Mus musculus: one gene and its partners. The protein of the gene in region 6 binds, or shares a complex with, the protein of the main gene of each other region. Links are inferred from orthologs where the notes say so. Each region holds a gene or a part of one and is shown on either strand. Other genes may lie near its edges. The genes, in order: Tcte1, Iqcd, Drc3, Drc7, Fbxl13, Drc1 and Efcab2.

Region 1 (4,697 bases), on a different chromosome or scaffold from region 6:
CTTTATAATGTCAGCCAATCAGAGACTTTTTTTAGGATTGGTCCAAGTAGAGGCTGATGGAAGGAAGGACAGCTGTGTGTCCTTGAAGGAGCAGGAGCCCCACTGCTGAGAGTCACTTTCCCGGACTTAGAGCCTATCTGCAGCAGCAGAGGACGGAACCTAGTTTGGCTGGGGGGGTGGGGGTGGGGTGGGGGGGGAAGAGAGAGAGAACCAGCAACCAGGAAAGTCAGGGTGACGAAGCCCCTGATCTGCCGGTCTTGCAGGTCCTGTCCTTCTCCTTTGTGACCACAGGGTGTTGAACATTGCTAGGCTCGCTGGGGAGTGAAATGGAGAATTCCTAAATCAAGGAAGTTTGAAGTTAACCTGACCTTATATGAAACCCTGTCGAAAGAAAAAAAGAGAAAGGAAGGAAGGAAGAAGGGAAGGGGGAAGGGAGGAGGGGAGGGAGGAAGGAAGGGAGGGAGGGAGGGAGGGAGGGAGGGAGGAAGGAAGGAAGGAAGGAAGGAAGGAAGGAAGGAAGGAAGGAAGGAAAGGAGGCTACCCCAGTTTGATTGAGGAGAAAGATGGGAGGAACCAGGGGAAAGGGAGAGACAGGCATAGCTGCTTACAGCATCTGCTGGTAGGCCTTAGTCTGGCTGGCTAGCTCCAGGCTGCCCTGAGGATTCTGCAGGGATGGACAGAAACCTAGATGACCAGATACTCCGGAAGACCCACTGAAGGAAGATAGCTCCAGAAGGGACAGGGCCCAGTGCGGGCTGGAGCAGTGGTTGTCAACCTATGGGTCTCGACCCCAGAGGGTCCCATAGCAGATATCCTCATGTTTTATATTTACAATCCATAACAGCAGCAAAGTTACAGTTATGAAGTGGCAACGGGATAATCTTATGCTTTGGGGGTTTACCACAACAAGAGAAAATGTTCTAAAGGGTCAGCAGCATTAGGAAGGTTGAGACCCACAGATCTACAGACTCATCTTCCTTGAGAGCCTGTGGGGTGGGGAGAGAAATGGAGTTTAGTACTCCAAGGTCCCACTCCTTTCTTCATGTCGGGGATTCTCTTTGGCATTTCAGACAAGCTGGGGCCACCAGAAATGCATGTGTCTTGTGCTGCTGTGTGATGTCCCCACTCAGGGCAGTCTCTGCCCTCAGAACATAGAAGTGGGAGGTGGGTCATGACTTTAATCTTGGGGTCCGTCTCAAGGACCTGTAGGCTTTACATAGCTGCGTCTCTAGCATCAAGTGCAGCCAACCAGGACCACTATTGGCAGGGAAAGGCCATTCTTTCTCTAGGTGTCCCTGTCCTCGGGACCAGGACAGGGGTATAAAAATACAGGACACAAGGAGTCACAACATAAAGGGCTGGGAATTTCTGGGCCTTGGTAAAAGTAATAAAATGGTGTCCCATTTTGGCCGGGGCTGTCCTCATTTTGTATGGCTTTGTATATGGTGGACAGGTGGTCTGGGATCATAACCTTGGCTCTGTGTAGCTATGATTTATTGCATTCTAGACGTGCAATGGCAGATGCCCACAGGGGGCCGGCCCTACAGCTGCTGGCTGAGCGCTCAGGCCTTGGACTGTCTCCAGACACCCCCCACCCCTTGCCTCTCACACCTCAACAGCTTTCAGGGGCATCACCTGTCAAATGGAGACAGTCATTAATATTACCTTCATCACCTATCATCCACTGTAGGTGATTTAGGAGCTAAACTGTGTGACATTTCACACAGGCTTGGCCTGGAGCTGGCACTCGTTAGCAGCCTCCCCTATACGAAGCTCACTAAGCCCTCATGTCCATTATTGACATTTGTCACCATAACACCATTGCCCACACCTTACAAAAGAGGAAACTGAGGCTTAGAAAACTGAAGAGATTCGCTGTCACCAAGCCAGCAAGCCAGACGGACTGCTTATCTGCCCCATGGGCCCTCTTGCTTCTCTGAGGTACCCCTTTCTCACCTCATCTCAGTTCCAGAAAGGTTTCTGGAACTCCCTCCCCCCGTGGGTTCTCTGGTCACCACTGTGGAGCCCCAGCCTTCACCTACTTCGCTGCCGAGACGCTTCCCTAAGGCTGGATTGTGGCCGACTTTGGCTTGAGGTCTCCACAAGGGCCCAAGAGAATGTTGCAGGTTTGCTCTTCTGCCCTGCTCACGCTGGGAGCGCATGTTGCTCACAGACTGGGTCAAGCTTGGATCTCTCCCTCATATTCCTTCCCTTTTCATCCTTCTTCAAGTCCCCAGTAAAATCTGGCCACGTCAGGGAGGTTCCTGCCACTACTCAAATGGGCCTGTCACGCCCCATGTTTCTCTGCAAGTGTAGCTGTGGTGGTCTGCTGCAGGGGCAGGTTAGGGTCTCCATCCACCTCTCTGCCAGCTTCCCACCCACGCGTACCCCATGCTCCCCACAAAGAGCCCTCCTTGGGTCTCAGGTTCCTGTATTCAGAGCCCTGGGCTTTTGTTTACATCTTCCCTGCCCTCTATTGCCCAAAGTCCTGTTGTGAAGTCCCAGTTTATGGGCTGAAGGAAGAGAGAATTTAAAACAAACAAACAAACAAACAAACAAACCAACCACTGTTTTTCTGAGAGCCCAGGTTTGGTCTCTGGCTCAGGGAGATAGCTTGTTCATAGCTTCTGGGTCCTCCCCATCCTAGCTCAGGCATCTGTAGTCAGCTCTATGGAAAGGGACACTTGCAGTAGCTCTACCCACGACTCCAGCCTCCTCTCTTCTCCTCCCCTTGGTAACTCAGAGAGACCAGGTCCATGGGGGACGTGCAGAACCCACAGGGCCTGTAGCATTGTCCTCAGCTGAGGATTGGGGACTCTCCTCTTCCCAGGTCTCCCCATTTCTTTACTTGAATTCTAGACCTCTAGACCAGTTTACAGATAGTCGCTGTGTGGAATGCAGAGCCTGGATCCCACCTCTAGAAGACAGGCGTGATGAGCTGGGGGCTTCATGTAACTGCAGAATGGGTTCTCCCATTACAGGACATACGAAGCTAAGATGACGGCTGCGGGGCCATAGACCCGCGTGGGTTGCAGGAGCTGGCAGGGCTTTGAGCTTAACCAGCATGGTCTGATTGGGGAGATCAGAGTTGGGGGTCCCTTTCCCGGAGGTCACCTCACCTGCTCTGGGGACCCAGGAGACTGCTCTCTGAGGCGGTTGGCTTGGCGCAGTTGGTTGTTAGGGACGCCTGAGTCGCCAGGGGGCGGACCCTGAGCCCTCCGCCCTGGGCGTTGGCGCCCTCCTCCTCGGTTGCCCCTAGTGCGCGTGCTCAGAAAACGACCCTATGCTCTCGGCCTCCGCTCGTGCTTTCTGGCTGCGTGTTTCGGGATGCATTAAGGTTTTCGCGTGGCTCTAGAGGATGTACTTCTGATAAGGAGTTGGGGGGCGGAGGGGGGGAGGAGAAGAAGGCCCAAGAAAAACAAAGGAGACAGGGGAAGCGAGGGACTTTCTACAGTTACTTAAGCCTCTGGAATTCCCCTGTGGTCGAGCTGTGGACCCCAACTCTGCTGGGGAGCCCCTTCGGTTATCTCTAATGTGAACCAAGTATCAGAGGCAGGAAGGGCCTGGGCCTCCAGAGCGCTCCTTCGCTCAGCCTGGCGGAAGCTCTCAAGGCAGGAGAGACGACTCCGGGGATCAGGCTATATGGAATAGAAGAACTCATTCTCTAAAGCAGAGGGACAGCAGACTGTGAGTGTGCGTGTGTGTGTGTGTGTGTGTGTGTGTGTCCGTCTGTCCTAGGAAAGCAAAGTTTAGCTTTAAGCTAGCTTCTCTGGTCAGATTGCCTCTGTTGAAGCCTCAGCTTGGTGGCCACGAAAGAGCTGGGCCCGCGGTAAAACCTAGTAGACCAACCTACCACCAAGGTCCAGCGGTCAAGCCATGCAGTGAGGAGCCATGCTTCTGTCCCCATGTCCCTTCACGCTCTCACATGAGGCTTACAAACCATCGTGTGTATAGTCGGTGGATGATCTTGATTCTGCTGCACATGCCTTGCTTCTCCAGAGCCCGGATTACAGAGAGTGGAATCGTGTTTCTGCAGTGCTGGGGAATTGAACCCAGGGCTCAGTCCATGCTTGGTACTGGGCCACCGGAGCTACATCCTCACTCCAGATGCTTACATGGTAGTCAGTGTGCACTCTGGCACCGTGTAGCCCCACGCTTCGGAGTTAATACAGTGTCAGGGAATCCTTGCTATGAAAATGTGCACTCCCACTGCTGTACCCACCCCTCACTCCTGTGTCTAGGTAGAGCTCTGCCTGGCAGCTTTGTTCTGATAGAGGAGGGTCTTCCCTACATTCCTTGGCTCCACTGTGCTTCAAATGCTGGGCTTCGGTCTCAGCTGCTCTATTTGCGCATGCTTCTGTGTGTATAGATAGGTGCACAGGTATGTACATGCATGTGGCGGGTGACCTCAGGTGCTGTCCTCCTTGAGAAAAGGTCTTTTGCTGCCCTGGAGCTCAAAGACCAGGCTTAGTTAGATGGCTCGTGGAACTGGGGGAATCCATCCCCATCCCCCCCCCCCCCCCGCCCCGTCTCTGTGCACTCTTCCCTGACTGCACAGCTGGGAGATTATGAAGGTGCGCCACCAAGGCTGGCTTTTGTGGCTTCTGCCACTTGAACTTGGGTCCCCATGCTCAAAGAGCAAATACTTTATTGAGCAATCTGCTCAGGCCCGGCTTCAGTTGTTTTCTGCTTCAGCT
Region 2 (4,039 bases), about 90 Mb from region 6:
CAGGGGAGCCCAGGGACTTTGGGGAGGTCACTGAGCTTTAGTGCCCTAATTCTGGGATGGGGATTTGACCTCCTTGACCCAACTCTTGGTTTGGCTGCTTCCCCTTCCCACCTCCCAGGAGATCCCACCTATCTTGGGCTTTCGCACCCCTGGGCCAGCCCTGCTGCCCCCCACCCCCACCCCCACCCCCACTGTACCCCTGAGACCTCAGGGCACCTTCCTTAGTGCCTGCTCTGCCTCCCGGTTCTCCATGACCAGGTTGTGGTACTGTGCCCGAAGCGCCAGGATATCTTGCTGCGTCTTGGCCAGCCTGACCTGGGAGGCCCGGAAATCCACCTTCTGCTGCTTCTCGGCCTCCTGCTTCGTGCGGAGGAGGCTGTTCTCCGAAAACTTGAACACCTGGTGCAGATGGTTCTTCAGCTCCTGGATCACAAAGTTCTCCTTCTCCACCTAGGCCAGGACGAATGAGGACAGGGCCCTATTTAATAGCCACGCAGTCCTCCCACTCCCAGTCACAGGACAGCTGGCCTTTGGTTGTGCCCCTCCCCTAGGGGCTTATGCGTCTCTCCGGCCTGGGACCACATGCTCCCCTCCCCTAGGAAAGGGGTTGGCCAAGGCCTACAGGGCAAATCCAGCCAGCCATAGCTGTCAATAAAGTATTATTGGGACACAGCCCTTCAGTCCTGATACTCTCCATGGCTGCTTCCACACTAACAACAGAGACATGTTGAGACCGTTAGCTCACTGAGCCCAGTGTGTGGGATGTGTGACCCTTTGGAGATGGGATATGGAGCCAGAAAGAAAGCTGGCAAGTGTGTGCAGGAAGACAGTAGCCATGGACGACCCACAGCTGCCAAGATGCAACAGATCTGAGACTCATTCTAATACGCTCTCTAGGAAAATCTGGGTGGGGGTGGGGCTGGTTGGAATGCAGGTACAGGTGCACTTTAAGCTGCCTGCGGAAGCTTTGGATGTCACAGCTCTGTGTTCACAGCTATAGAGTGGCCTGCATGTGTGCATGTGTGTGCTTGTGTGTACAGCCTTTGTGTGTACAGCCTCAACTGTCATACACCTCTCTCTTTGGCCTGGAGCTTGTTGGCTATGCTAGGCTGGTGGGCCACTGACTCCTGTCCCTGCCTGCCCAGTCTCAGGGAACAGAGTGGCTCTGGAGCCCACACTCAAATCCCCTGGCTCGCACAGAAGGCTTTGTCTTCACGGAGCCATGCCTGGCCCCATGCAAGTGAATGCAGGTGCCTGTGGTGTCCAGCAGAGGGCGTGAGATTCCCCGGGAGAGCTGGAGTAAACAGTGTTTGCAAGCAGCTGGCCAGAGGGCCTGGGAACTGACCTCTGTTGCTCTGTAAGAGCAATGTGTACTGGGAGTGGTGGCGCATGCCTTTAATCCCAACACTTGGGAGGCACAGGCAGGTGGGATTCTATGGCGTTCCAGGCCAGTCAAGGCTGTAGAGTGAGACCCTGACTCCAACAGACAAAAGCCTGCACTTTTAACCTCTGAGCCATCTCTCCAACTCCTCCCCCACATGTCTGGTGTCTATCTTACCCGAGACAAAGGACCCACTTAGCCAGTGACACAGACACTTTGCCAACCCCTGGCTGGGAAGGTCTGCCTTGCTTGTCTGGCTCAATCCCGCTTTCTGTGTCCTCCCTGTCTTAGTGGCGCTGTCCCTAGTCCTTCTGGCCAGGATTTAGTTCTCTTACATCATCCCTTGATAGCGCCCTGCCCTTGTCCTTCCTTGAGCTCCGGAGGTTGGGCTTTTCCTACAGACAGACCTCCTAGGAAAATGCTCAGAACAATTTCTGAGGATTAAATGAAGGGAGAGAGCTATTGAAACCCATGAGAGAAGAGGCAAATCCCAGAGGGTTGGCCTGTTTGGGTGAGGTTTCTCCCCTAATTTGGGGGATGCCTTAGGGAGGTGTACCTCTGACTCCTTGTTCTTCAGCACGTTGGCCAGCTCAGCCTGGAGGTCATCGATGACCTCCTGGTTCCTCTCGCTCCTCCGGCTGATGTCCTGTATGAATTGGTTCTTCTCCCTGACTTCCATGGGGCTGGTGAGGAGCTTCTCAAAGAGGAAACCTCGAAGCTCCACCAGACCGTCGAGGAGGCACTGGGCCCCCGGGCTTCTGCCTGGCGCCTGTACCTGTAACAGCCTGGTGAACTGAGGCTCGCCCAGCACGAGCCTCAGGACAGTCTTGGTGGAGTCTCGGAACTGGTGCGCCAGCGTCAGCAGGTTCACCTTGTGCAGCTCTAGGGACAGTAGGCGTTCCTGGTTCCTAGTTTCCTCGGCTTCTTCCTCTTCCTCCAGCTTCTTGTGTCTCCTCTGCAGGATGCTGGCCCTCTCCACCAGGGTCTGGCCAATGTCCAAGTGCTCTCTTAGGGCTCTCACGAAATCCTCGGGCAGCGTGTCCTCCAGAGCCTCTGGGTGGGACTCCATGTAGGACATCAGGGTTATCAGCTCTATCTTGTGTATGGCCTCATCCAGGACTGACATGATCCTCTTGGCCTCGATGGTGTTGAGCTTGGATTTGGATGGGACTAAGGTCTTCATCGGCTCTGCTGGGACTAGACCTGTTCTCAGTGGGATTCTTTGGATGGCCAGTCCGTGGTAGGAAGGGGGTATGCTGACCTGGTCCAAGGCCATTTCTGGAGAGGCTGCCTTTGCCTCGGTATAATCTGGTACTGAGGCAGCCGCCAACTCAAGGCTCTCCTGGATTTCACAGCCTCCAGTAACCCTGCAGAGGAAGGGGTGACTGTGAGGTACATCGCCATTGGCCATGATGACCACTGTACAGAACCTCAAAGCTACTTTTAGCTTTTTTGTCTTCAAGGTTTGGTTTGGAGATATGGTCCATTATAGCCTAGGCTGTCCCTTCCTCCCGATCTGAGGGCTACGGTTATAGGCGTGTACCACCCTGGCAAGCTTATCTTTTGGCTTCGTGATGGTGCTTGAGCCAGCGGGGGTGGGGGTAGGAGGCCTGAGGGTGGAGGGCAGCTGCAGGCACATCTATCAGGCAAAAAGCAGCCTCTGTTCTGGGGACCAACCTCCAAGGGTTACCCAAGAGGCAGAAACAGAGAGAGGACAGCTTCAGGCAACTGAGGTCACCCAGCAGCTCCAGCAGCAGGAAGCCACATGTGTTGGGCTCACCAGGGGCAGTAGACCCCAGAGGAGTTGCAGCTGTGACTGCAAGCACTGTCTGATCAGAGAGTGGAAATGTCCTAGCCCCAACTTGCATTCCCCCCCCCCACGTTGATGCTAAACCAGCAGGAAACCAACTCAAGAGCCTGGGCCACTGGTGTACCACATCATCAGGCCAGGATGCGGAGGAGTCTGGGGCAAGGAGCAGGACATGCCGAACATTAGGACGGGACAGGGACAGAGCAGGATGGGCCACAGAATAGGAGCAGACACTGACACAGGAGGACAGGTCACACAGAGTAGGACAGGATAGGACAGGACATGGACAGAGCTGAACAGGGGCAAGGCCAAGCAGGGTGGATGACTGTGTACCAGCACACACCGGGAGCATCTGTGATCAGGTATGCATAGTGTGTGCATGTGTGTACATGTGCATGTGTGCACTTCTACATATTATATGTCCCCATGCAGGCCAGATATCACTATCAGGTGTCTTTCTTCATCTGTCTCCTTACTTTTTGAGACAGGGTCTCTGGCTAAACTGGAACCTCACCAGCTTGGGCAGGCTGGCCGCCAGCAAGCCAGTGGGTTCACCTCCCCAAGGCTGAGATTACAAACTCTTGCCTACGTCCTTGGCTTTTCGTGTGAGCTCTGGGGATGGAACCCAGCTCACCATGCCTGTGTGGCAGGTACTTTCCCAAGACAGCCACCACTCCTGATCCTGGCCGGGTGAGTTTTTTGGGGGTATTGATTTGAAAACTGGGGCAGAGTTGTAACAATAACTTCAAAATACAGAGTACAGAAAGTTTCAGGAGATGTGGTATCTGCTAAGACCAGCACCCACGAGGCGCAGGCAGGGTGATGGCTGAGAGTTCAAGGCCTGCCTA
Region 3 (4,642 bases), on a different chromosome or scaffold from region 6:
CAGGGTGGCTGGCTGATTGACTGACTCTTCCTCCTCAGGGTAACTGACTGATTCTTCTTCCTCAGTGTGACCGAATGACAGACTCAGTCTTCCCAAGCAGTTGTTGTGCGCATCAGCATCCTATTCTTCCTAAACAGTTTCCCTTAAAGTTCCTCATAATTTACCACTAACCTCAAAATTTTACCTCTGGGGAAATTTTTTAAAGTGGTTCATTTGTCAGATGTTATCTGAAAAGTACATGGAATTTTTTTTTTTTTTTTTTTTTGGGTGTTGTGCTTTGGGAAATGACTCAATTCTGGTGTCAAAACTTTGACCTCTGTTTCATCAAAGCCCATTAACTGTGACAGGTCAAACTAGCTTTCAGTCATGCTAGATAGCATTCAGTCCAGCTCAGCAGGTTCTGTGCAGTATAGGATTGGTGCAAGAACTATGCTAAATGTTTACACCCAGAGAGGACTTTGCCTCTGACTGTGTATCTTTTGAAAAGTAACGTCACCGGCTTAAGTCTTTTTCCTGTTAGGTAGATAACTCCCCACTCTACATCTGTCAATTTTTTTTGTTGTTGTTGTTTTGTTTTTTGTTTTTTGAGGCAGGGTTTCTCCATGTAGCCCTGGCTGTCCTGGAACTCACTCTGTAAGACCAGGCTGGTCTCGAACGCAGAAATCTACCTGCCTCTGCCTCCCAAGTGCTGGGATTAAAGATGTGCACCACCACTGCCTGGCTTTTTTTTTTTTTCTTTACTTTTCTTTCTTTCTTTTTTTTTTTTTTTTTTACATCTGTCTAAGAAAGGACCTGTATTTAGTCCACACATCCATATCAAATAACTACCACATGCTGTGAGCCTTGGACAGGTCCTTTGTTTCAGAGTTGAATTAAATTGTTATACCAGCATTTACTTACAAACATCTTAGTAGGTGTGGGGAATGGTGAAAACACCTAGTAGGGTCAGTTGGCTTGATCAGGGAAGATACAATATGAGGGATAAAAAGAAAAGAAAGCAAGAAGAGACGATAACCCAGTGAAGACCCCAAGCTGGAAAGCAGAAGTGATACAGGGTCTATATTGCATTTGTATTCCATAATGGCTGGCAAGCTCCTAGGGCTTGTAAGGTGAAGATGGATCGGATTTTAGTTTTTATTATAGCTGTTGTGGCAAGAATTACAAAAGGAGTGAGGCTAGCCAGGAGTGGTGGTGCAAGTCCTAGCGCTTGGGAGGCAGATACAAGCAGATCCCTGTGACTTTTTGAGGCCAGCCTGGTCTACATAGTATGAGGCCAGCTTGAGCTACACAGAGGGACCTGTGTCAAAACAAACAAACAAACAAACAAAAATGGAAAGGAAAGGAAGGGGAGGGGAGGGGAAAGTGAGTGACCAGAGTGGTTGTAATACAGAGGGGTGGGACATCACTAGGAACTTAGTTTATAGGAAGGTCTGAGACAAAATCTAGTTTGGAAGGTTATGCCTAAGCTAAAGTAATTGATTGACCCAATAATAGTGTTTGAAAGAGGAGTAGTGCTAAAATCAATTGCCCTCCAGAAGAATTTTGCTAGGAGAGTCAGAGGTTCGAGGCCACAGACAGCCATGAGGAGCCCTGAAGTGAGAGGGCACTAGGAGAGATTGCATCAGAATCTTGGCAGCCACATGGTGCCCAGAAGAGAAAGACAAATCTTCCAGTTCCATTAGCTCCCTCAGATCCAGAGAACAAAGGGACTTACGACTCACAGTTTTGGGGGGCGGGGGGGGGGACAACGACAGTGGTGGCTTTTAGTTCTATACCATGTGACCTGACCTGACCTAGTCTACATGACTCCTGGCACGGTGGCAGGCTTAGTTAAGAGAGTAAAGTTGCAATTCAGGTATGTCTTGGCCCAGGAATCAGGGGAAGCTGGGTTTGCTCACATCTGTAAGGAGTGAAAGAGAGAACTTTGTGAAAGCTACAAGGTCAGAGCGGCTCTCTATAACCAACCTTGTGAAAGGATACTGAAGAGGTGTGGCCTGACTTCTGAACCACACTTGAATTAAATAAATTATCCCAATATCTACTTACAAACATTGACAGGTTAGTGGGTGTATGGAACTATGAAAGCACACAGTAGGGATCTCTGTAAGAGAAATTTCTCGATTGACTAATATGAAGATTTACCAAGAGGCACGACCTCATGTCTAACACAGAATCCACTTTCTTAATCACAACTCTATTGTACCCAGCACACTAGGGACAGACATTGTCACATGTTCTCTGCCTACAGAACAAGGCCCAAAGAATCCTCCCCTATGGGGAGGATGTCAATAATTTATCCAAATGGGGGTCCCATTGACTTGCCTGATGATAGTGTCCTTGGTGAAGACCAGAGGTAGGATGTGGAGAAGCAGCAGAAAGCTTTACAAACAAATCAACCAGGTAGCCTCGTCACTGGTTTACCTGGGAAACAACAGCCTGGGTTAGCTGGACCTGAAACACTATGTAGACCCTATGAGTCCCACAGTAATGAGAATAAAAGCAACTGATGAGAATAAGTCCTTGTCGTACTCTCAGTGCACTCCACTTATTTAACTCCATGCCAGTTCTGGGAGCTATTTAAAAGGGACATCTTAGTGTCCCTACTTCCCAGATAGGGAAATTGAGGCTTGAGGTATGTGTGTATGTGGGGGGCCGGGGGGGGGGTCTGTGACCAAAGTCATAGAGTGAATTACTGACAGAGACTGAGATGGAACCTTGATATCTTTATTCTCATCGCAAACACTTCATACGGCACCAAATGAAATACCTTATTGCAGATCAAGAGGATGGATATAACAGCCAAACTCTAGAATGAGTTATCAGTGTATCGGGTACCTCTCTTTCAGTGAAACGAATCAGGCCAGGAAACTGGCTGATGGACCCTTTTCCTACTTGCTTTTGCTAGTTTAAGATTTTATACGCTCTTTTCTTTTTCAAAAGCCCGATTAAGTCTCAGTACAAGTGTAAAAATGACATGTGTGCTCATTTTACAGATGAGACGGGTCAGGTCGGAGTCCTCCAAGAAGAGTTACAAGACAGACCTCAATCATGCAACCTCTAATCTTCTGGAGCTAAACTCTTGATTCTTACCTTCCTAAGGACTGTCTCCCCTTGCAGTAGACGCTTCGTTTGGTTGCTGGGGAACCAAACACCGCCACTTGGTTGCTAAGGGGAAGTCAAGCGATAAATATCCTGGGTGAAAGTTGATTCGTCACGTGGCCATATTTCTAACACCAACCAGACTTGAAGAAAACAAACGTTTCTCCAATCAGCACAGTCAACGAGCTTCAACTTCTAGTTACGCTTTCTTTCTGCCCGCCTATGTAAACGATTGACACACCTTTTATCCAATAATAGTAAAGATTCTCTAGACTGACCAACGTGCTAATGAATCAAGAAGAACGGCCACTCGTTTGGAGGCGGGTCCGGGGGTTGTGCCGCTAGGCTGACGGAGACCCTAGTGACTTAGCTTGCTTCGTGCCCAATCGGACGCCGCGGGGTGGGTGGGACTTCACTGAGAGTGGAGTGTCGTCCAATCGGAAGTGGGCTGGTTAGACGCTGCCCAATAGAGATGCACCCAGAGGGCGAGGTCAGGCCGGGCGCTCAGCGTTCCGGAGGGTGGGGCGGGGGCAAGTGTCAGTCAGGGCAGAACGCGGCGCGGGCAGCGGAGACCCGTGGCACACAGGAGTCCGGGCTGGAACGAGGCCCGCCGAGATGGAGTTCCTGCTGGGGAATCCGTTCAGCACCCCTGTAGGGCAGTGTCTTGGTAAGGCCGCGCGTGGGGCAGGCGTCGAGTGAGCCACAGCGGCTGACCGGGCTGGTGAGATCCGCGGGCCTCCTCCCGGCACTGAAATCACCTCACGTGCGGGTTGGGCCTCTGCCAATAAGTGGTGTCATCTCAAAGGTGGACTGGGCATCCTTGTCACGAGGCCTCTGCCTGACGCTGGTGCCACCTCACCCTACAAGGAGGCTCCCCCGAGGTGCCGATTGGACTTAGAGAGGTCCCCGGCATCCCTGCCCATCAGGGCCCAGCCTTTCAAGTCTCTCCCCAGAAGTAGTGTCCATGCTAGTCTGCTTACCCTTGCGTATTGGGAGATGTCACTGCGAGTACTCTTCCCCAGGTATCTCGCTGCCTTTGCTCCCAGGGCCTCTGTCTCCCGGAGCCTTTGTGGAATGGAACTCTTTCTTCCGTCCTTGTCCCTGCTCATTGGTACCAATGGCTCTGAGGCTGGGCACTTTCCCAGAAAATGCCCCATGCTGCACGACTTCTAATTTGAGCTGCAACTCAGTCAGGCTGTAGGAGGGACTGGGATGGGGGAGGCCCTCGGGGAAAGTGACTGGCTTGGCAGGGGGATGGCGTGGCGGCAGAATCTCCTAGGCCTCCTAGGAAAGAAGGGAGGCAGGGCTGCTTTGTTGATAAGCAGTCCATTGGATCCCGGAAACTTGGACTCCAGTAGTGACTTTGCCAGGGACGCTCCTCCTGACCTTGTGCGCTTTATATTTTGACGTTCTCTTGTCTGCCACACGGGGTATTTGGAGATAAGATGTGGTGGGACTCTTCAAGTTCTAAAGTTCTGAATCTTCCTTGTTGATATTAAGCGTCTCCTTACATTGCCTCTTGCTCTCCCACTACATAAAGTGG
Region 4 (4,039 bases), on a different chromosome or scaffold from region 6:
CATTACATATTTCTAGAATATTTGAAGCCAACACCAATAGAAGAAACAAAGAAGTCCAACATTCTAATCCAGGGTGCAGATAATGTCAGGCAGGAGCTTTAGAATATAGAAAACCAGCAAAGAAGACCAGGGAAGAAGTGAGCACCATCAACAGGCTTGTGAAGATTGACATCCAACAGAACCTTCTAGTCAGCCTCAAAAAATAGTCATTTTAGTTAAATTCACAGAACATTTGAGAGGTAGCATAAGCTGGACCAACAACCAAGCTGTAAGAAGATAGTGGGGGTTACATGGTAAACATTCTCTAAAAACCATACAATTAAAAACTGAAATAAAAATAGACAGATCACTGGGAAACACATCTACATGTCTATAAACAGAACCTTTGTTTGTTTTTTGGGGTTTTGTTTTTTTGTTTTGTTTTGTTTTGTTTTGTTTTGTTTTGAGACAGGGTTTCTCTGTGTAGCCCTGGCTCTCCTGGCACTCCTTCTGTAGACCAGGGCTGGCCTCAAAAGATCTGCCTGCCAAGTGCTGGGGTTAAATGGGCATGCCACCACCATCTGGCTGAAACACCACATTTTAAAATGACTCATGGATCAGAGGATAAGTGAAAAGGAAAAGGAGAGAGAATTTTTGAACTGGGAAAAAGGGCGGGGGAGTCGCTGGAGTGAAATGAAGGTCCTTACTAGCAAAATAAAGCCAGCCAGGTTCATTTCTTAAGTTTTCACCTTAAGAAACTAATCAATAAAACAAACATTAGAAAATAATAAGGATCAGAACAGAAATAAATGAAACAAAGCTATATGAAAAAAAAAAATCAACAGAACCAAAAGCTAGTTTGTTGACAATTCCAACACTATTGAAAAGCCTCTAACCAACACTATTGAAAAGCCTCTAACCAAGCTCATTAGAGGAGAAATCACTACATTATCAGTGTCAAGATTGAGAGAGTCTTTAAAATAGTAAAAGAAAAATAAGGAGCTATTAACATTTTATAGCAATAATTTGAAAATTTAAACGAAAGGGACCAAATTTTCAAAAAAAAAAAAGAAAGAAAGAAAGAAAGAAAAGGAAAAAAAAAAAGAAAAGAAAAAAAAAAAGAAAAGAAAAAGAAAAAAAAAAAGAAAAAGAAAGTACCAGAAATTACTCAAGAATAAATGTCCTGAGTTGGGTGTATAAGTCTCAATGGCAGAGCATTTGCCTGGAATACTCAAGGTTTGGGGTTTGTCTCCAGCACTGCCAGATAAACACGTTATCCAAACTGAATGTGTCATTTAAAACATCCTACAAAGAGAACTTGGGTTGGGGGTGGGGGTGGGGGTGGGGAAGAGAACTCTAGACCCAGATGACGTCTAAAGAAGAAACAACACTGATTTTATAGAAAGTCACCCACAAAAGGATTAAAACTGACCTCCCAGAGAGAACAGCCCTGGAGTCTTTCTAATTCTTAGAGTTAATAGACAGATTTTAGACTTTCTGAATATGAGGACCGTCTTCAAAAGGCCAGTTGTAGTTTTGAAACAACGTAACATCACCTTCTGCCCACAGAATGGCAAAAACAAGCGGCCTCGCTATGCACACCTGGAATCTCAGCGTTCCCGAGGCTAAGGCACAAGGCATGGCTCCGGGGCAACCTGGTCTGGAGTGAGACCTCATCTCAGACTCCCCCAAGCAAACACTGAGTGTAAGGAGCAGGAGGCTGTCCAGACTCTCACAGAGTGCTGCTTTGAATCGGTCACTTTTGCAAAATGAGAAGAATCTACTGAGATGATAGGTGACTCTCCCAAGTCTTAATCCATCAGAGGCAGGTATGTATGTGTTCCCTGAAATGCAGGGAGGGAAGTGCTCGCTGAAGCACTATCCAAATAATCCCGTGCTGGAAATGGCCTAAACATGCCACTCTAAAACAGCAAAATGGGTTCTGGTTTGCTTCAAGAACAGGGAATTAATGAACAGTAAACACGAGCAACGCATTGCCCGGCAGGAAATGGACAAATCTCTCAAACATCTCCACGACTTGACAAACCCAACACAGAAGAGTACGTGCACCGTACGACTCTGCCGACCAAGTGTGTTAAACAAAATGATGGACCCTTAAGAAGTCAGCACTGGCTCCACCCCCATAGGCCATGCCACCTGCCCCTACCCCCGCCCTTCAGTGACGTCTCCCTGTGGACGTATGCATCCTTTCTCAAGTGAAGAGTGTCTGTATAAAGGAATTTTTCCTTGTTTTTGTAGTATTAACCTGTACCTGATAAGCACCTGCTAGACCACAGAGCTTGTGGGTGGAGGGGTTATTGGATGGGAGTGGGCAGGTGCTGGTATGTAGGGGAGTTCATTATCACAAACCAATCTAACAAGATGCGCCCTTACAATTGTGCACCTTTTCGAGAGAGAGAGAGAGAGAGAGAGAGAGTGTGTGTGTGTGTGTGTGTGTGTGTGTGTGTGTGTGTGTGAATATGCAGCTCATAGGACAACTTTCAGGAATCAGTTCTCTCCTTCCACCATGCGGACCCTAGTATCTAACGCAGGTCATTAGGGTCGGTGGCAAGCACTTTACACAAGAGGATTCCTGAGGGATGGGCCGTATTCTTTCTTATTCTGGGTACAGGAAGCAGGGCCTTCGGTGGACAGTGTGCTTAGCCCTTTAGATGGACAACCTGCACCCAGAGTTCATTTGCATAAACCAATAAGCATATGGGTTAAAAAGAATGCACATAGCAAACTGGTGAAGTTCATCTTGCCAGAATGGCCCTTGATAGCTGTGGGTGTGGAGTCTGGGACTTCCACCAGACCCTGCTATCAGAGGGTAGGTGGCCAGGCTCCCCACAACCCCCCATCCCCGGTCTTTACCCACCCCTCTCCCGACTCCGGCACACCTTGCAGCAGTTCCAGCAATCCTGCATGTTGATCCAGTAGTTCTTGTGGTTCCAGAGGCTCTCAATGCCCAGGAAGTGCTCATCCTTGGTACTGTAGCTGCGTGCAGTCAGAGGGTCGATGAAGAAGCTCTCAGGCACCTCTCGCTTTCCTGCCAGCACCAGGACCCAGGAGTGTACCCGCAGGCCATGCAGGGGGTCGGGCTTCGCTTTCTCTGCCTCCTGCACAGGGAAGGTGGGTGACCACCAGCTAAGGGGAACTCTCTTTCCAACATTCCTCCTTAGAATTCCAGGTTTCAACCACTAAAATGGTGGCAGTGGCGGGGGTGGGGTGGGGGGTGGGGCAGGTGACCAGATCTGTGGCTCACTCTTTGGGGCACCCTAGGTGAGATTTCATCCAAAGAAAGGCAATACATTCTATGGGTAAGGAGCGCTTTAGTGAATCTTAAGGGAAGGCCTTATGGCCCTGGTATGTTATCCACTGGGCCCACCGGGTCATGTCAGAGTGCAGTGTCGTGGAGGCCCACCAGGATGCGATCTTCCTCTTCCTTAAGTCGCCTTTGTTCTAGATCCTTGATCTCCTGTATTCTCTTCTCCTCTTGCTCCTGCTCAAACTTGCTGGTCAGGTCCCGGGGCGGCTTGATGGAGTATTTCTTAGGCACCGTCTTCTCTTTCTTCTTGACTATCTGTCACCCAAGAAGAGTGGAAAGTCGCCCACTGCACCCTTTACAGGCTTAATGGGATCGGGGCCTAGCCCTGACAGAAGAGGGAGCTGCCGCCCCAGCTCCAGGACCTGAAGGGAGGAGTGGGAGTCGAGGTGGAGGATCCTCTTTATGGATCAAGACTAGCTGCATGGCAGAGAATACTAAAGACCTCCCCACCAGCCTGGCACAAGAACATTACACACACACACACACACACACACACACACACACACACACACACACACACACACACAAGGGCTCGCACTGGCGCTCAACCCAGCTGATCTGGATCCCAGATAGAGGGTGGGGCAGATAGTCTGGACTAAGAGTTTTCAGGGGTTATCCTTGGGAGAGTTCATACACAGATTCCAAGTTCAAGTTTTCTGAACCAGGAAAGAAAAGTGAACGTGTGTGTTTCTACATGAATGTGTGTGCACATGTGTATATAATTAAGTACAA
Region 5 (4,039 bases), about 8.8 Mb from region 6:
ACACCACCACCATGCCTTTTTTGTATTTGCCTGTGAGGAATGCACTGCGGGGAATCTCAAGGTCTATCCACGTCTAGTTCAGAAGAACAATAAGGGGCCAAACCGTGACTGATGGTGCATGGCTGGGTCCTGTGTGTGCTACGTACTTGTATAGCCACTGCTGTGTGAGGGAGGGGTAGGGCCAGGGAGCTCTGAACCATTCTTCCTCTCGTGTTCATTCATCTCCCTGGGCTTTTTCCCCCCTGGAAGAAGTCATGAAAAATTCCCTCAGGAATCCACGGCAACAATACAAAATGTCTCCTCCTTTCTTATGGCTTTCTCTCCCTTTTTATCTACTAAGCTGATTCTTGCTACCGGAGCCAAGGCCAGCACGCCTCCTCCCAATGCTTCTTACCATGTGTAAGGCAGCAGAAGGACAGAACTCCTCCCTAGCATTTAGATTGCTTTGCTTTACACATGGGCTACCTTTCTTGACGTGGGTGAGCCTCAGACGGTAAAGTCAGCCTCAAGAGGAAGACGGAGCTTTGCCCCAGCAAATGGAATTCTGCCTGAAGACTACAACCTTTCTTGATTTTTGATTCAAAATTACAATTCCTGAAATTTCAGCTTCCTGTCTCTGGTTTATAGATTTCAGACTGCCAGCCCTTAGTATCCAGCAATCCGATTTTTTTTCTTTAAAACAAACAAACAAACAAACAACAACAACAACAACAAAAATCAACAACAAAACTAGATTTCCTAGAACTATGTAGACCAGGCTGGCCTTGAACTCACAGAGAGCTGCTTGCCTCTGCCTCCTGAGTGCTGGGATGAAAGGCCTGTGCCACCACACCAGGCATGATCTGATTTCTTAAAGTGAATCTTTCTCTTCAGAGATTTAGACAGGCATCTGAGTTTCTCTGAAGAACACTAATACATTTTCACACTACATATCTTTCTAACAATGATGCACTTGCAAGTGACCTACAGATTTTAGAATTTGTTCAGCTTTAGTTCTAAGTGGATCTATATTTCTGACAAGCTCCCTGGCAGCAGAAACTGCTTCCCTGTTGTCTTAGTTAGGGTTTCCAATGCTGTGAAGAGACACCATGATCAAGACAACTCTTATAAAGGAAAACATTTAGTTGGGGCTGGCTTACAGTTTCAGAGGGCCATTTCAGCAGGCAACTCTCTTTTCTTAGGATAATTTTGTTCAAGAAGAACTCTTGACCCAAGATACATATATTTTCTAGACCTTAGAATATTCTATTGCTAGATTCTACTTCTGAGGATGGCGAGTGCTTGCCTTAGTGCTTAACCTAGCTCAACAAAGTTCCAAAGCAGTGTATAAACTGGGCGTAGTGGACATACATGTAATTCTAGCACCCAAGATGGTACAGGATCAAAATAATCAGCTATAAAGTAAGTCCAAGGCTACCCTGGGCTCTGCGAGAACAGTTACTTAGATTATCCCAATATACTCACATCCAAAGTCAACAGCTTTAGCAGCAACTCTGTGTATTCAGCCCCTGGACTCAAGGTTGTCAAAATTTGCTGATTAGGAGCATGTATCAAAGAGGATTCTCTGAATCTTTCAAATATTTGTATGTCTGATCATATATATAATCATACTTGTTGATTGTCTATTTACCTGGTGTCATGGGTGGTGGCCTGCTAGAAACTGAGTAGCATTGGTTCAATAGCTAATCATAAACCAGTTTAGGATGTTCCATGGTGTTGTATGTGTATAAGAGAAACCTGGTCCAGGCTCTTCCTGAAGAAGTGACATTTGAAATGAGCTCTGGTTGTTTTGAGAATGTGGCTTTCAGTTCTGTAGTTGTTCGCTAGTCCTTTGCCAGTAGGCGAGGCTCTGGTGACAGAACCCTGGGAGTCCCCTGGGTGAGGTCTCTCTGAAGGTCTTGGAAGAAGTCTGTTGTAGATGCGACTCCCATTTTCTGTGCCACGCTACTGTGGAAATGACATGTCACAGGCATCCATCTGTTCCCTGAAGTCCTCAGTTTCTCCCAGATACAGCTGAGTACCAAGTGTTCCCCATCTTAAAGAACTAATTATTTTAAGGTAATTTATCATATAGTTATTTGTCCCAAAGAGGCAGAAAACAGATTAGTGACCAAGGGGAGGGGTTTGTGACAATCAGGTGCCTGGTTGCTCATGTTTTCCATTTGGCTTATGAAGGTGTTTTTGTGATGATACAGGTGGTGACTATAAAACATTGTCTAGGACTGGAGAGATGGCTCAGCAGTGAAGAGCACTGACTCTTCTTCTGAAGGTCCTGAGTTCAAATCCCAGAAACCACATGGCGGCTCACAACCGTTTGTAATGAGATCCGATGCCCTCTTCTGGTGTGTCTGAAAACAGCTACAGTGTCTTTACATATAATAAATAAATACATATTAAAAAAAGACCCAACAAACAAAACCAAAAAAAAAAATTGTCTATATTATGTGAGCTTTACTTCATTAGGACATGAATTAAATGACAAAAACAATCAGGACTGGATCCTTCCTGTCATGTCAGTCCTATTTTATGGTTTTAATTCAGGTTTATTTATTTAAAAATTACATTTATTTATTTAATGTGTGTGCGTGCGTGCTTGTGCACATGTGCAGTGAATGAGCCACATGGATCTTGCTGAGTTCAGAGTACAATAGCTATGTACAAAAGGCTGAACACTGTGTAGCTGCATTCATACTAAATGCTAGAGTCAGTTCTAGCTTCTGTCCTGTGAGCTCCGGGTCTTGAACCTGAGCTGTTCGGCTTGACAGCAAGCACTTTCAGCCCATGGTTTTAATTTTAAAACGTGGAAACTTCATGCATCTGTGATCTGGTGATCATGAACGGCCTGCTAATTACCTTTCCCACGCTTTTCTCCCGTGTGATTCAGATCTCAGTCCAAGGCTTCAGGAACATCGCCAGCAGCTGCACGGGGATTGTGCACCTTACTATCAACGACATGCCCACTCTGACGGACAACTGCGTAAAAGTGGGCCATGAGGAAGAGCCTCTCCCTTCTCTTATCTGAGCACACATTCCAATAGCCTTAGCTATTGAAAACTATGAATTGACTTCTTCTTTGTATTGATTAATAGCTAGGAAATCATTTAAATATGTACACATACACACATGCATGTATCTCAAAAAACATTTGAATGCTTCAATCTTCATGAAGATAAAACCAAAGCACACTGGAAATCCTCCCAACTAACTACGACCTAGCCTCAGCTCTGCTTGGCTTAAGTCTGATGCCCCATGTCAAACTGCCGACTGACTGACTCTGCACTCCATTTCCTCATGTTTGCCCATGCTCTCCAAACATGATTTCATTTTCATTTCTCCTCAGTATTGAAACATGAGCATATTGGTTTCATCAAATATGAAAACAGTCCTATTTGCTTTAAAATTGGGAAAATGCAATAGTCAGCATGTTTGTCTTTCTAAAAAAAATGCAGGGAGACGACACTATCCCCTCGCTGTCTCCTTCTTCCAGTAATCCTGTCTCCTTTCTTTCCTCTTCTGAAGGTTTTGGTTGAGAAGTGTCCCCGTATTTCGTCGGTGGTTTTAATTGGTTCACCACACATCTCTGACTCTGCTTTCAAAGCTCTTTCCTCCTGCGACCTCAAAAAGATTCGATTTGAAGGTCTGTGACGCTAGAAACTCAATTTATCCTTATTTTTAATTTTTCTTTCCTGTACATTGAAATATAGTACTTGTATTTCCTCCAACAGGAAACAAAAGGATTTCTGATGCGTGCTTTAAGTCGATAGACAGGAATTATCCAGGCATCAATCACATTTACATGGTGGACTGCAAAGGGCTAACAGACAGCAGCCTCAAGTCACTTTCACTTTTGAAGCAATTGACAGTGTTGAACTTGACAAATTGCATAAGGTAAGAAGACATTCATGGTATTCAAAAAATATTGATTATCTAGGATGCACCACTAGGTGCCTGGGAGGAGCCTAGACGAATCGCAGGTAAGCTAAGAGTCCATTTTAAACTGGGGAAAAGAGTCATTTCCCTGTTGTTAATAATCATGACA
Region 6 (4,039 bases):
TTATCAAGCGTAGCCTCTGGTGTCTGATCGTTCCGCCCCAGCTAAACTAATGGGATGTCTGAGAAGGAAGTCAGGAATGCCTTTTAGAAATTCCAGAGAGGCCCTGTGTGGGGTGCACTGATGATGTGACAGAGAGGAAGTCATCAGAGCGGAGACGGGAGCAATGCTGCTGACTATACTGTCACTAAACAAGACCACAACTTCCCTTTGTTTTGTTTTGTTCTTTCAAGACAGGGTTTCACTATGTAGCCCTGGCTGTCCTGGAACTCACTCTGTAGACCAGGCTGGCCTCAAACTCACAGAGATCCTCCTGTCTCTGTCACCCAAGTGTTGGTATTAAAGGCTGGGATTAAACTTCTTTAGTGCAGGGACCACAACATGAATATGATCCTGTACCTCACTGTCCAGCTGAGAGCACACAGGACCTATTACAGTGTTTCTTTTATAAGCTATGCCTCTATGTGCCTAATTCTGAGCTATCTGTGGGTTTGGTCACTTAATTGATTTAAATGTTGAGCTTCTTAGTTGATTTTGGGGGGGTGATGGGGGGCTTCTGCCTTCACCTCCAAATCTTCACTCTCATGTGGCCTTTAAACAACGCCTCTAAATCTCAGCACAGTAAATGCACCTTACAGCATGACTTCCGGTGACTAAATGTATGCCAGATAGCAGAAAACAAGCCACACTGTTTCCCAGTGTGTTTACCAAGACCAGAGAAGCCCAGATAAGAGGAAGAAAAGCTAGTGTTTCCCTCACAAAGCATCACTTTGTCACTAAATGCAGTTTTATCTTTGCCTTATCTGAGGCTGGCGTGGCCTCTGCAGGTTAAACACTGGGTGGCGCTCCAAGCCCAGGTTTCCATCAATCCTGCAGCAGCTTTAGCGCCACAGGAAAGTTTGCTGACCGAGGCAAGCATTGACTTCAGGTGCATGCACACACCCCCACCTCCACCCCTACGCTCTGCCAGCAACTCCTACTCAACAGGCTTCACCTGCAAGAATCATTCCCAGGGCTGTAGGCACCATCTGAGCCGCACCTGCCACTCCCAGACATGTTCTGAGATTGCACGCCTCTGCCTAAGATGCCTACGCGACAGCCTAAACCTTACTTGGCCTTCCCAGTGCAACCCAAAATTCCTGCTGTGTTTTCTCCAACCGAAAGCCTCCTCCTGTGACTTCCTACATTCCTTGATCTCCTTGATCTCCTTTTTAGAACAGACCGCTGTTAAGTGTCCCGTGTTGTCAGAGGCAAGGGACCGACCGGCCCTCCATTCACACCCACACAGCTTGGGACACTTGAGGAAGGGAGGGACGAGGGAAGAAGCGGGGAAAGGAGGACGGTGGGTTCACACGGAGCAGGAAGGGGATTCCATGAGACCGGGTTGGACAAATTTTCGCTCCAAGGACTGGGAGAGTGGAAGGGCAGTCACGTGGCGACTGTGGCGCACAAAGGCAGCACATCCCTTACCTCTGCCGCTTTGTCTCCTCCTCTTCAACCCTCCTGTGGATCTCTCTGACGTCTGCAGCCACCTGAATATTTGTCACCAACTCGGTCCCGCAGAGCAGGAGTTTAGTCAGTTTCTGGAAAACAGAGAGGCGGCAAGCTGTGAATCTAGACTATTCTGGGCTATTGAGATGGCTCACTGTGTAAGCTTGCTGCCAAGCCGCGAGTTCAACCCCGGGACCCGCACTGTAGGAATCAACTCCCACGCCACAAGTCCTTGGACTGCCACAGGCAGCACAGCACATACATCCCGGGGCACATAAGTAGAGACGTTAAATGTAAACAGAGAGAGAGAGAGAGAGAGAGAGAGAGAGAGAGAGAGAGAGAGAGAGAGAGAGAGGAGCACAGTGGCTTATGTCTTTAAAACCAGAGCTCAGGAGGCAGAGGCAGGTGGATCACTGGTTCTAAGGCCAGCCTGGTCTACATGATGTTTTGTTTTGTTTTTTCAGACAGGATTTTTTCTGTGTAGCCTTGGCTGTCCTGAACTCCCTTTGTAGACCAGGCTGTTCTGGAATTCACAGAGATCTGCTTGCCTCTGCCACCCAAGTAGTAGGATTAAAACAGGCGTGTGCCACCCACCCAGCCTTACACAGTCAGCTCCAAGCCAGCTTGCTTTGGGCTCTCTGCCACCCTACTGACTCCTCATTTACATGTGGTTGGAGATCTGAAATCTAGTCCTTGTGCTTTTGACACAAGCACTTTACCCCAGTCATCCCCACCCACCCAACCTGCCCCAATTTCTCACTTGTTTGTTTCTGAGGCCTGCTCATATCATATCCTAGGCCAGTCTTCCAGCAGAGCACTCCTGTCCCCGTCTTGTGGGTACCTGTACTTACGTGCCATCTTTCCTGACAGGAACCTACAGTTTGAAAGCTCACTCCTAGGGAACCCCAAAACGAGACAGCCCCATCTAGAGTCAGCAACACAGAAGGTATACTTCCTGCCTATGAAAACCAGGCTACGAGACTCTGCGACCGCCGGCTCAGCTCGTACCAGGCGGCTCTCTTCTTTCTGTTTGTAGCTCTTGCTCTGCTCCTCCTCACTCTCCTTCTTCCCGTCCAAATACTCTCCCAGGGCTTCCCTGTGGCAGGAAGACATCAAGGCAGGACAGTGCAGTCATGAGTGTTTGTGCTTTGTGTTTAAACACACGCCGTTAATCCCAGCACTCGGGAGGCACAGGTAGGTGGATCTCTATGAGTTCTGCGGCCAGCCTGGTTTACAAAGCCAGTACCCAGGGATATATAGAGAAATCCAATCTCAAAACAAACAACGACGACAACAACAACAAAAATCCCACACTACAAGCAAATAAAAGAGAACAGAAAACCTTAGGATACAAAGCCCATCTTTGAATAAATCTAGTCAGGTGAAAAGGACAGGATGCTATCAAGTCCCCATGATGGTTGGAGCCATTAGTTTGACAGAATCTAGAATCACCTGGGACAGGTATCTGGACTGTACATGTGGGTTATCTTGAGGATCTGGCTGGGATGGGACGTCCCATCCCCGCTGTAGAAAACACCATTCCCTGACTTCTGCCCTTGACTCCCCGGCTGTGGACTATGAGCTGAAGTAAATTCTCTCTCTCAAGTTGCCTTTGTTGCAGGAGCAGGATAAGCAACCGAGATGATGCCTTGTAGCTGGCATCTCCTCTGTGTGGCATTTGGACACCAGCTGATGCCATCTGCCACACTTTTCTCTGACTCCTGCCCTCAGGCTTCATATTGGGTTCCAGAAGGGAACAGGTATGCTTGGTAAATGGGCTTTGACAGACACTAAAACCAACCCAGGGCGGCATGCACTTCCTTATCGTTGGCAGGCCTTGCCTCACTGGCTGGTTCTACAATAATAATCAACTAGAAAGCAACAGTCTAAGACCTGCCAGCTACTCACACTCAAAACCCTCGAGGTCAGAGCAGATGCCCAGCCTTTGCTGTCACTGTCAACTGACCTTTCCAATGGGTGGCTGGGCAGGGACCTTCAGGACCCCTCAGCATAGACCCCAGGTAATCCAGGGTACATTGTGTCTTAAGGTTTCTATTGCTGTGAGGAAACACTAAGGCCAAAAGCAAACTAGGGGGAGAAAAGGGTTTAATCTGTTTAAGCTTCTAAGTCTTCATCGGGCGTGGTGGCACATGCCTTTAATCCTAGCACTCAGGAGGCAGAGGCAGGCAGATTTCTGAGTTTGAGGCCAGCCTGGTCTACAAAGTGAGTGCCAGGACAGCCAGGGCTATACAGAGAAACCCTGTCTTGAAAAACAAAAAACAAACAAAACAAAAAAACAAAAAAATCTTAAGTCTTCATCGGCAAAGCAAGTCAGCACGGGGACAAAAACAGGGCAGGAACCTGGAGGCAGGGGCTGATGCAGAGGCCATGGGGGGGCGGGGAGGCGGGGCTGCTCTCTGGCCTGCTCAGCCCACTTTCTTATAGAACCCAGAACCACCAGCCCAGGGATGGAACCACCCATAATGGGCTGGGTCCTTCCCCATCAATCACTAATTAAGAAAATGTCCTACAGCCCAATCTTAAGGGGGCA
Region 7 (4,540 bases), on a different chromosome or scaffold from region 6:
CTATAAACATTTTGAAAACTTTGCCTATGGGACCATTGAAGAGGAGGTAAAGATAAGGGGCAGGCAATGCTCAGGGTCACCTTCCATCAGGAAGGGACAGTTCTCTTCCTTCCCATACTTGCTACAAAGTCCTTCATCTTCAGGGAGAGTAAGGGGAACACACAGAATGTAAATATTAATATAAAATAAATAAAATATTAATATAAAATAAATAAAATATTAATATAAATTACTCTTCCATATTTTGGGGTGATTAATTTACTGTATGCTTGAGTTCATCTTGGAAGTCTTTCTTTTCTTTCTTTTCCTTTCTTTCTTTCTCTTTCTTTTTGTTTTATTGTTTTGTTTTTGTTTTTGTTTTTGTTTTTTTGAGACAGGGTTTCTCTGTGTAGCCCTGGCTGTCCTGGAACTCACTCTGTAGACCAGGCTGGCCTCGAACTCAGAAATCTGCCTGCCTCTGCCTCCTGAGTGCTGGGGAAATTTGCTTGATATGCACCATTTTCTGATTATTCAAATTGTAGTTAGACACTTCATCAAATCTTTATTGCCTATAGAAAAAAATATTTTAATGAAGAGTACAGTTGGCCTGCTTTGAGGGTTCATTCACTGAGATTACAGAACTTCGATGAATAAAAACTAATAATAAAAAATAAAATACTGAGATGTAAAGTGAATAAATAACTATATTAAAGAAAAATCAAGACAAAACAAAGGCCTCTACATTTAGTTACTTTTACAAAAATATTTAAATAAGTACACATATACCATGAAATTATCATTAAAGATTAAAACTAGATATTAATTTGAGTCACATTGTTAGACATTTCAAAACTGTTGGGTTTTTTTTGTTTGTTTGTTTGTTTGTTTGTTTTGGGGGGGTTTCATTTAAGGGAGAATCTTAGTATTCTGAGCTTATCCATCAAATAACAAAACACGCGATAGCCAAGTTTCTCAGTACTCAAAATTCTCATCGGAAGGTCATGCCAAATTGCACCATCAACATACAAAATGTGTGTATCCCTGAGAACAGACCGTCAATTTATTTGTTGCTATGAGAACACTATTTTGTATCAGAAATTGCAGCCTTGGCGACGCAGTGTTTGCGCCTATTTTGCACATGTTTTTCTACAGCAAGTCCTCTCTCTCTCTCTCTCTCTCTCTCTCTCTCTCTCTCTCTCTCTCTCTCTCTGCGATCCCGGGGAAAGGCTGGGCTTCCTCCTGCACTGGCCCATGTCCGTTTTCGCTCCAGTTCCGTGACTGGCAGAGTGGCTCCGCTCAGGAGAGGGTGACGCCAGAGAGCCACAAGGCCTGGCTCGGGTGGGGTTGGGGTGGGCGGACGCTTTTCGGGGAGGGACCGTGTAAGGGGCCGCCAGGTCTGCGCCCGGTTCTGGGGCGCACCTGAGACGGCCGGGAAAAAAAAAAGCTGAATAAAATAAGTAATTAAAGAAATGAATAAAGAAATAAGCAAGGCACACTACGTCCTTGACAGTCACAATCAGGCCCAGGCGGGTTCCGGAGCCTTGTTAATAAATGACGCCCCTAGGCCCAAAGAACGCGGGCCTCGGTTCTGGTGGGGGCGGGGATCGGGGGGCCACCGTGCATCCAGGGGCTTTCTCCGCCCGCGGGGTCCCGCAGGGTTCGTGCTGGATGTCTCCCGGGCGACCGGCTCCGCACCAAGATGGCGGAGGAAAGGGACGCGGAAGGGACAGGTAGGACCCTGCCTGGGGTGCCACGACGTCGCCTCTGCGCCTGAGGAAGCGCCCCCCGGCCAACATCTTGAGCCCCTCGGCGTGGCGACAGTGGGCTGAAAAGCGGCGCCAGCCCGCGTCCCCACCGTCCGCCCTCCCGTCCCCTCGAGAGGTCTGCGCGGGCTGTTGTAGCCCCCGCCGGGGAGGTTCATAATGGCGTCCTTGTCCCTGGCACCTCCCCTCCCCGTGAGGGCGCCAGCCGCGGTCTGGGTGGGCTGTGGGTAACCCGGAGGGCGGCCTCATGGAGGACTGGAGCTGCGACTAGAACCTGGCGGGATCCTCTGCGGCTGTGCCGAAACCCCGCCCAGCCCGGCCCAACCCGGCCCCAGCCGCCTCCATTTTGCCTCCTCCTCCGCCAGGCGGAGCGCAGCCTCCAGGTCAGACTGGGCCCTAGCGGCCCGGGTCGCGCTAGAGCCTTGCATAAGGAACACGCACTTTAATCACTTTAAAGAAAACCCAGCCGGGACTTGTCGGGCCGCCCAGACCGGCCGGGTACCCGAGAGGCCTCAGGGGACCCGAAAAACTAATGTTTCATGTTGAACTGCAAGACCTTTTGAATTGTTGCTAACCCAGCCGAATGACTTAAAATCGGATCTGTGACTCAACAGCCATTACGTGATAAATTGACAACATCACCGCTAAATAAATAGTCAAGCAAGCCCTAAAATAGTAAATGGCAAACATTGCAAAAAAAGTGAAAGTAACACTCCATCTTTGCTGACTCTCTCCCCTCCCTCTTGTATTCCCCCACCCCCACCCCCACCCTCTGGTTTGGAACACAGTAGTTAGGTTAACAACTAATATTTACACGAGTTGTTTAGTCCATTGTCATGGTGATTACAGGAACCCAGCAGGGAAACTTGAGACCCTAGATTTTTTTTTTTTTTTTTTTTTTGGTTTTGGCTGTCCTGGAACTCACTTTGTAGACCTGGCTGGCCTCGAACTCAGAAATCCGCCTGCTTCTGCCTCCGGAGTGCTGGGATTAAAGGCGTGCGCCACCACTCCTGGCAGCTAGAGATCTTATTGATGACCTGTGATTTATAGATGGTAAAATTAATCTCAGAAGTCGGCATTGTAGTATAGAGTTTTAACTCTACTAAGGTATCAAGATTTTTGTGGTGCTATTTTAGAAATGGAAGGTTTTATTCTACTTTTTTGTTGTTGTTTTTACAAAGAATATGAAGTTAGAGGGCAGGGAGTGTCGGTGAGGTGTTGGGGGAAGGGAAAGAATATGATCAAAATATGTTGTATAAAAAATGTTTTAGGTGAGTCGGGGGTGGTGGTGCACACCTTTAATCCCAGCACTTGGGAGGCAGAGGCAGGCAGATTTCTGAGTTCGAGGCCAGCCTGGTCCTACAAAGTAAGTTCCAGGACAACAAGGGCTACACAGAGAAACCCTGTCTCAAAAAAAAAAAAAAAAAAAAGTTTTAGGTAAAAAAAAAAAAAAAGCTTCCCCAGAAAGTATTTTTTTTTTTTTAGTTATACTTTTATTACCCCCCTCAAAAAAAGTAAAGGAGAAAATCATTAGGGGATGAATTATTTTTTAAATTAATTTACCTTATGTGTATTGGTGTATTGCCTTTGTGTATGTCCTTGTGAGGGTGTCGGATCCCCCAGAACTGGAGTTGCAGATGGTTGTGAGCTGCCATGTGTGTTCTGGGAATTGATCCAGGATTCTCTGGAAGAGCAGGTAGTGCTTCTAACCTCTGAGCCATCTGTTTTTTTGTTTTTTGGGTTTTTTTTTTGTTTTGTTTTGTTTTTTAAACAAAATCTAAATCATTTGGTTTTACCAATGAAAACCCGGGAGCCAGAATCTGTGGTGAAAGTTTGCTAGCTCAGAGAAGCAGAGAAAGCACCCAGCTGACCCTGCTCCTCAGCCAGTGTCCCAGACATTGTTTTTTTTTTTTTTTTTTTTTTTTTAAATAATCCTATGTTTACTCTCTGTCAATTGGTTGCTTGTTCCACCTCTTAACTTATGGTTGACTTTATTTAATTTTGTTTATAATATTCAAGCAGAGAACTCTTGGATAAATGCATATGCTAAAGCTGAAACACACCACAACTAGAGACACAATAGGTGTTATTAACACAGTGGGAACAAATATCCATCTCTCCAGACCCCTCCTTTTCTTTTTAAGTTAAAGACTTATTTAGGGTAGCATTGGAGTATACTGCAAGTTTTTACAATGTAAAATTATACACACACACACACACACACACACACACAACACTTAGGATCTCACCTTGTAGCTTTGATTGGTCTGGAACTCCCAGAGATGCACCTGTCTGCATCTGAGTGAGTGCTGTGACTAAAACTGTGTGCCACCACACCCAGCCTGATTTTTACAGTTGTTATCCCTGCTTGAGAGAGACAGAGACAGACAGAATTTCTGTTTCTTTAGTTTCCAAAACATATTTTAATGTTTAGTGTAAGTTTAGGAGAAAAAACAGTTCAGTCTGCAACTAACTGTGGAAGTAATGGCTGTTGAAAGCTGGATTTCATATATTCAATTTCTTATATATTTAATGCTTGCTTCATGGAAAGTAGTCTGGTGAATGTTAAACCTGAAAATTGTGATGAGGAAGATGGAATCCATGGTTGTCCAACTGAAGTAAGCTTTATTAAATACTGGCCAGGAAGATGGACACTGGCCATGTCCCTATGTGGGATTCTTACAGAAATGGTGATGAATTCCATCCTTCAGGTGCCTGTTAGGCCAGGCTCATGAAACTCCTTACTTTCCACCTTGGTTCACTGGGGCAAGCATACATCCTGACTTCCTTCCTGCCTG

Evidence for each region.
Region 1: Drc1 (region 6) and Tcte1 share a complex: the UniProt entries of both Homo sapiens proteins name them as parts of the nexin-dynein regulatory complex. The link is inferred for Mus musculus from reciprocal best matches to the Homo sapiens genes DRC1 and DRC5.
Region 2: Drc1 (region 6) and Iqcd share a complex: the UniProt entries of both Homo sapiens proteins name them as parts of the nexin-dynein regulatory complex. The link is inferred for Mus musculus from reciprocal best matches to the Homo sapiens genes DRC1 and DRC10.
Region 3: Drc1 (region 6) and Drc3 share a complex: the UniProt entries of both Homo sapiens proteins name them as parts of the nexin-dynein regulatory complex. The link is inferred for Mus musculus from reciprocal best matches to the Homo sapiens genes DRC1 and DRC3.
Region 4: Drc1 (region 6) and Drc7 share a complex: the UniProt entries of both Homo sapiens proteins name them as parts of the nexin-dynein regulatory complex. The link is inferred for Mus musculus from reciprocal best matches to the Homo sapiens genes DRC1 and DRC7.
Region 5: Drc1 (region 6) and Fbxl13 share a complex: the UniProt entries of both Homo sapiens proteins name them as parts of the nexin-dynein regulatory complex. The link is inferred for Mus musculus from reciprocal best matches to the Homo sapiens genes DRC1 and FBXL13.
Region 7: Drc1 (region 6) and Efcab2 share a complex: the UniProt entries of both Homo sapiens proteins name them as parts of the nexin-dynein regulatory complex. The link is inferred for Mus musculus from reciprocal best matches to the Homo sapiens genes DRC1 and DRC8.

The regions. Positions count from the first base shown.
Region 1 is NC_000083.6:45,521,994-45,526,690, reverse strand, and holds the start of Tcte1 (dynein regulatory complex subunit 5), read right to left. Parts: upstream 3,258-4,697; 5' UTR 3,120-3,257; intron 1-3,119. UniProt on the Homo sapiens protein: Component of the nexin-dynein regulatory complex (N-DRC) a key regulator of ciliary/flagellar motility which maintains the alignment and integrity of the distal axoneme and regulates microtubule sliding in motile axonemes.
Region 2 is NC_000071.6:120,598,737-120,602,775, reverse strand, and holds part of Iqcd (dynein regulatory complex protein 10), read right to left. Parts: intron 2,749-4,039; 5' UTR 2,658-2,748; coding exon 1,938-2,657; intron 451-1,937; coding exon 217-450; intron 1-216. UniProt on the Homo sapiens protein: Component of the nexin-dynein regulatory complex (N-DRC), a key regulator of ciliary/flagellar motility which maintains the alignment and integrity of the distal axoneme and regulates microtubule sliding in motile axonemes.
Region 3 is NC_000077.6:60,351,881-60,356,522, reverse strand, and holds the start of Drc3 (dynein regulatory complex subunit 3), read right to left. Parts: upstream 3,144-4,642; 5' UTR 3,091-3,143; intron 2,422-3,090; 5' UTR 2,323-2,421; intron 1-2,322. Other genes in the region: Tom1l2 (TOM1-like protein 2), read left to right, coding at 3,715-3,766. UniProt on the Homo sapiens protein: Component of the nexin-dynein regulatory complex (N-DRC) a key regulator of ciliary/flagellar motility which maintains the alignment and integrity of the distal axoneme and regulates microtubule sliding in motile axonemes.
Region 4 is NC_000074.6:95,061,236-95,065,274, reverse strand, and holds part of Drc7 (dynein regulatory complex subunit 7), read right to left. Parts: intron 3,563-4,039; coding exon 3,404-3,562; intron 3,099-3,403; coding exon 2,880-3,098; intron 1-2,879. UniProt on the Homo sapiens protein: Component of the nexin-dynein regulatory complex (N-DRC) a key regulator of ciliary/flagellar motility which maintains the alignment and integrity of the distal axoneme and regulates microtubule sliding in motile axonemes.
Region 5 is NC_000071.6:21,523,398-21,527,436, reverse strand, and holds part of Fbxl13 (dynein regulatory complex subunit 6), read left to right. Parts: intron 1-2,884; coding exon 2,885-2,983; intron 2,984-3,519; coding exon 3,520-3,637; intron 3,638-3,725; coding exon 3,726-3,888; intron 3,889-4,039. UniProt on the Homo sapiens protein: Substrate-recognition component of the SCF (SKP1-CUL1-F-box protein)-type E3 ubiquitin ligase complex.
Region 6 is NC_000071.6:30,340,209-30,344,247, reverse strand, and holds part of Drc1 (dynein regulatory complex protein 1), read right to left. Parts: intron 2,585-4,039; coding exon 2,497-2,584; intron 1,581-2,496; coding exon 1,468-1,580; intron 1-1,467. UniProt on the Homo sapiens protein: Component of the nexin-dynein regulatory complex (N-DRC) a key regulator of ciliary/flagellar motility which maintains the alignment and integrity of the distal axoneme and regulates microtubule sliding in motile axonemes.
Region 7 is NC_000067.6:178,404,425-178,408,964, forward strand, and holds the start of Efcab2 (dynein regulatory complex protein 8), read left to right. Parts: upstream 1-1,593; 5' UTR 1,594-1,678; coding exon 1,679-1,709; intron 1,710-4,540. UniProt on the Homo sapiens protein: Component of the nexin-dynein regulatory complex (N-DRC), a key regulator of ciliary/flagellar motility which maintains the alignment and integrity of the distal axoneme and regulates microtubule sliding in motile axonemes.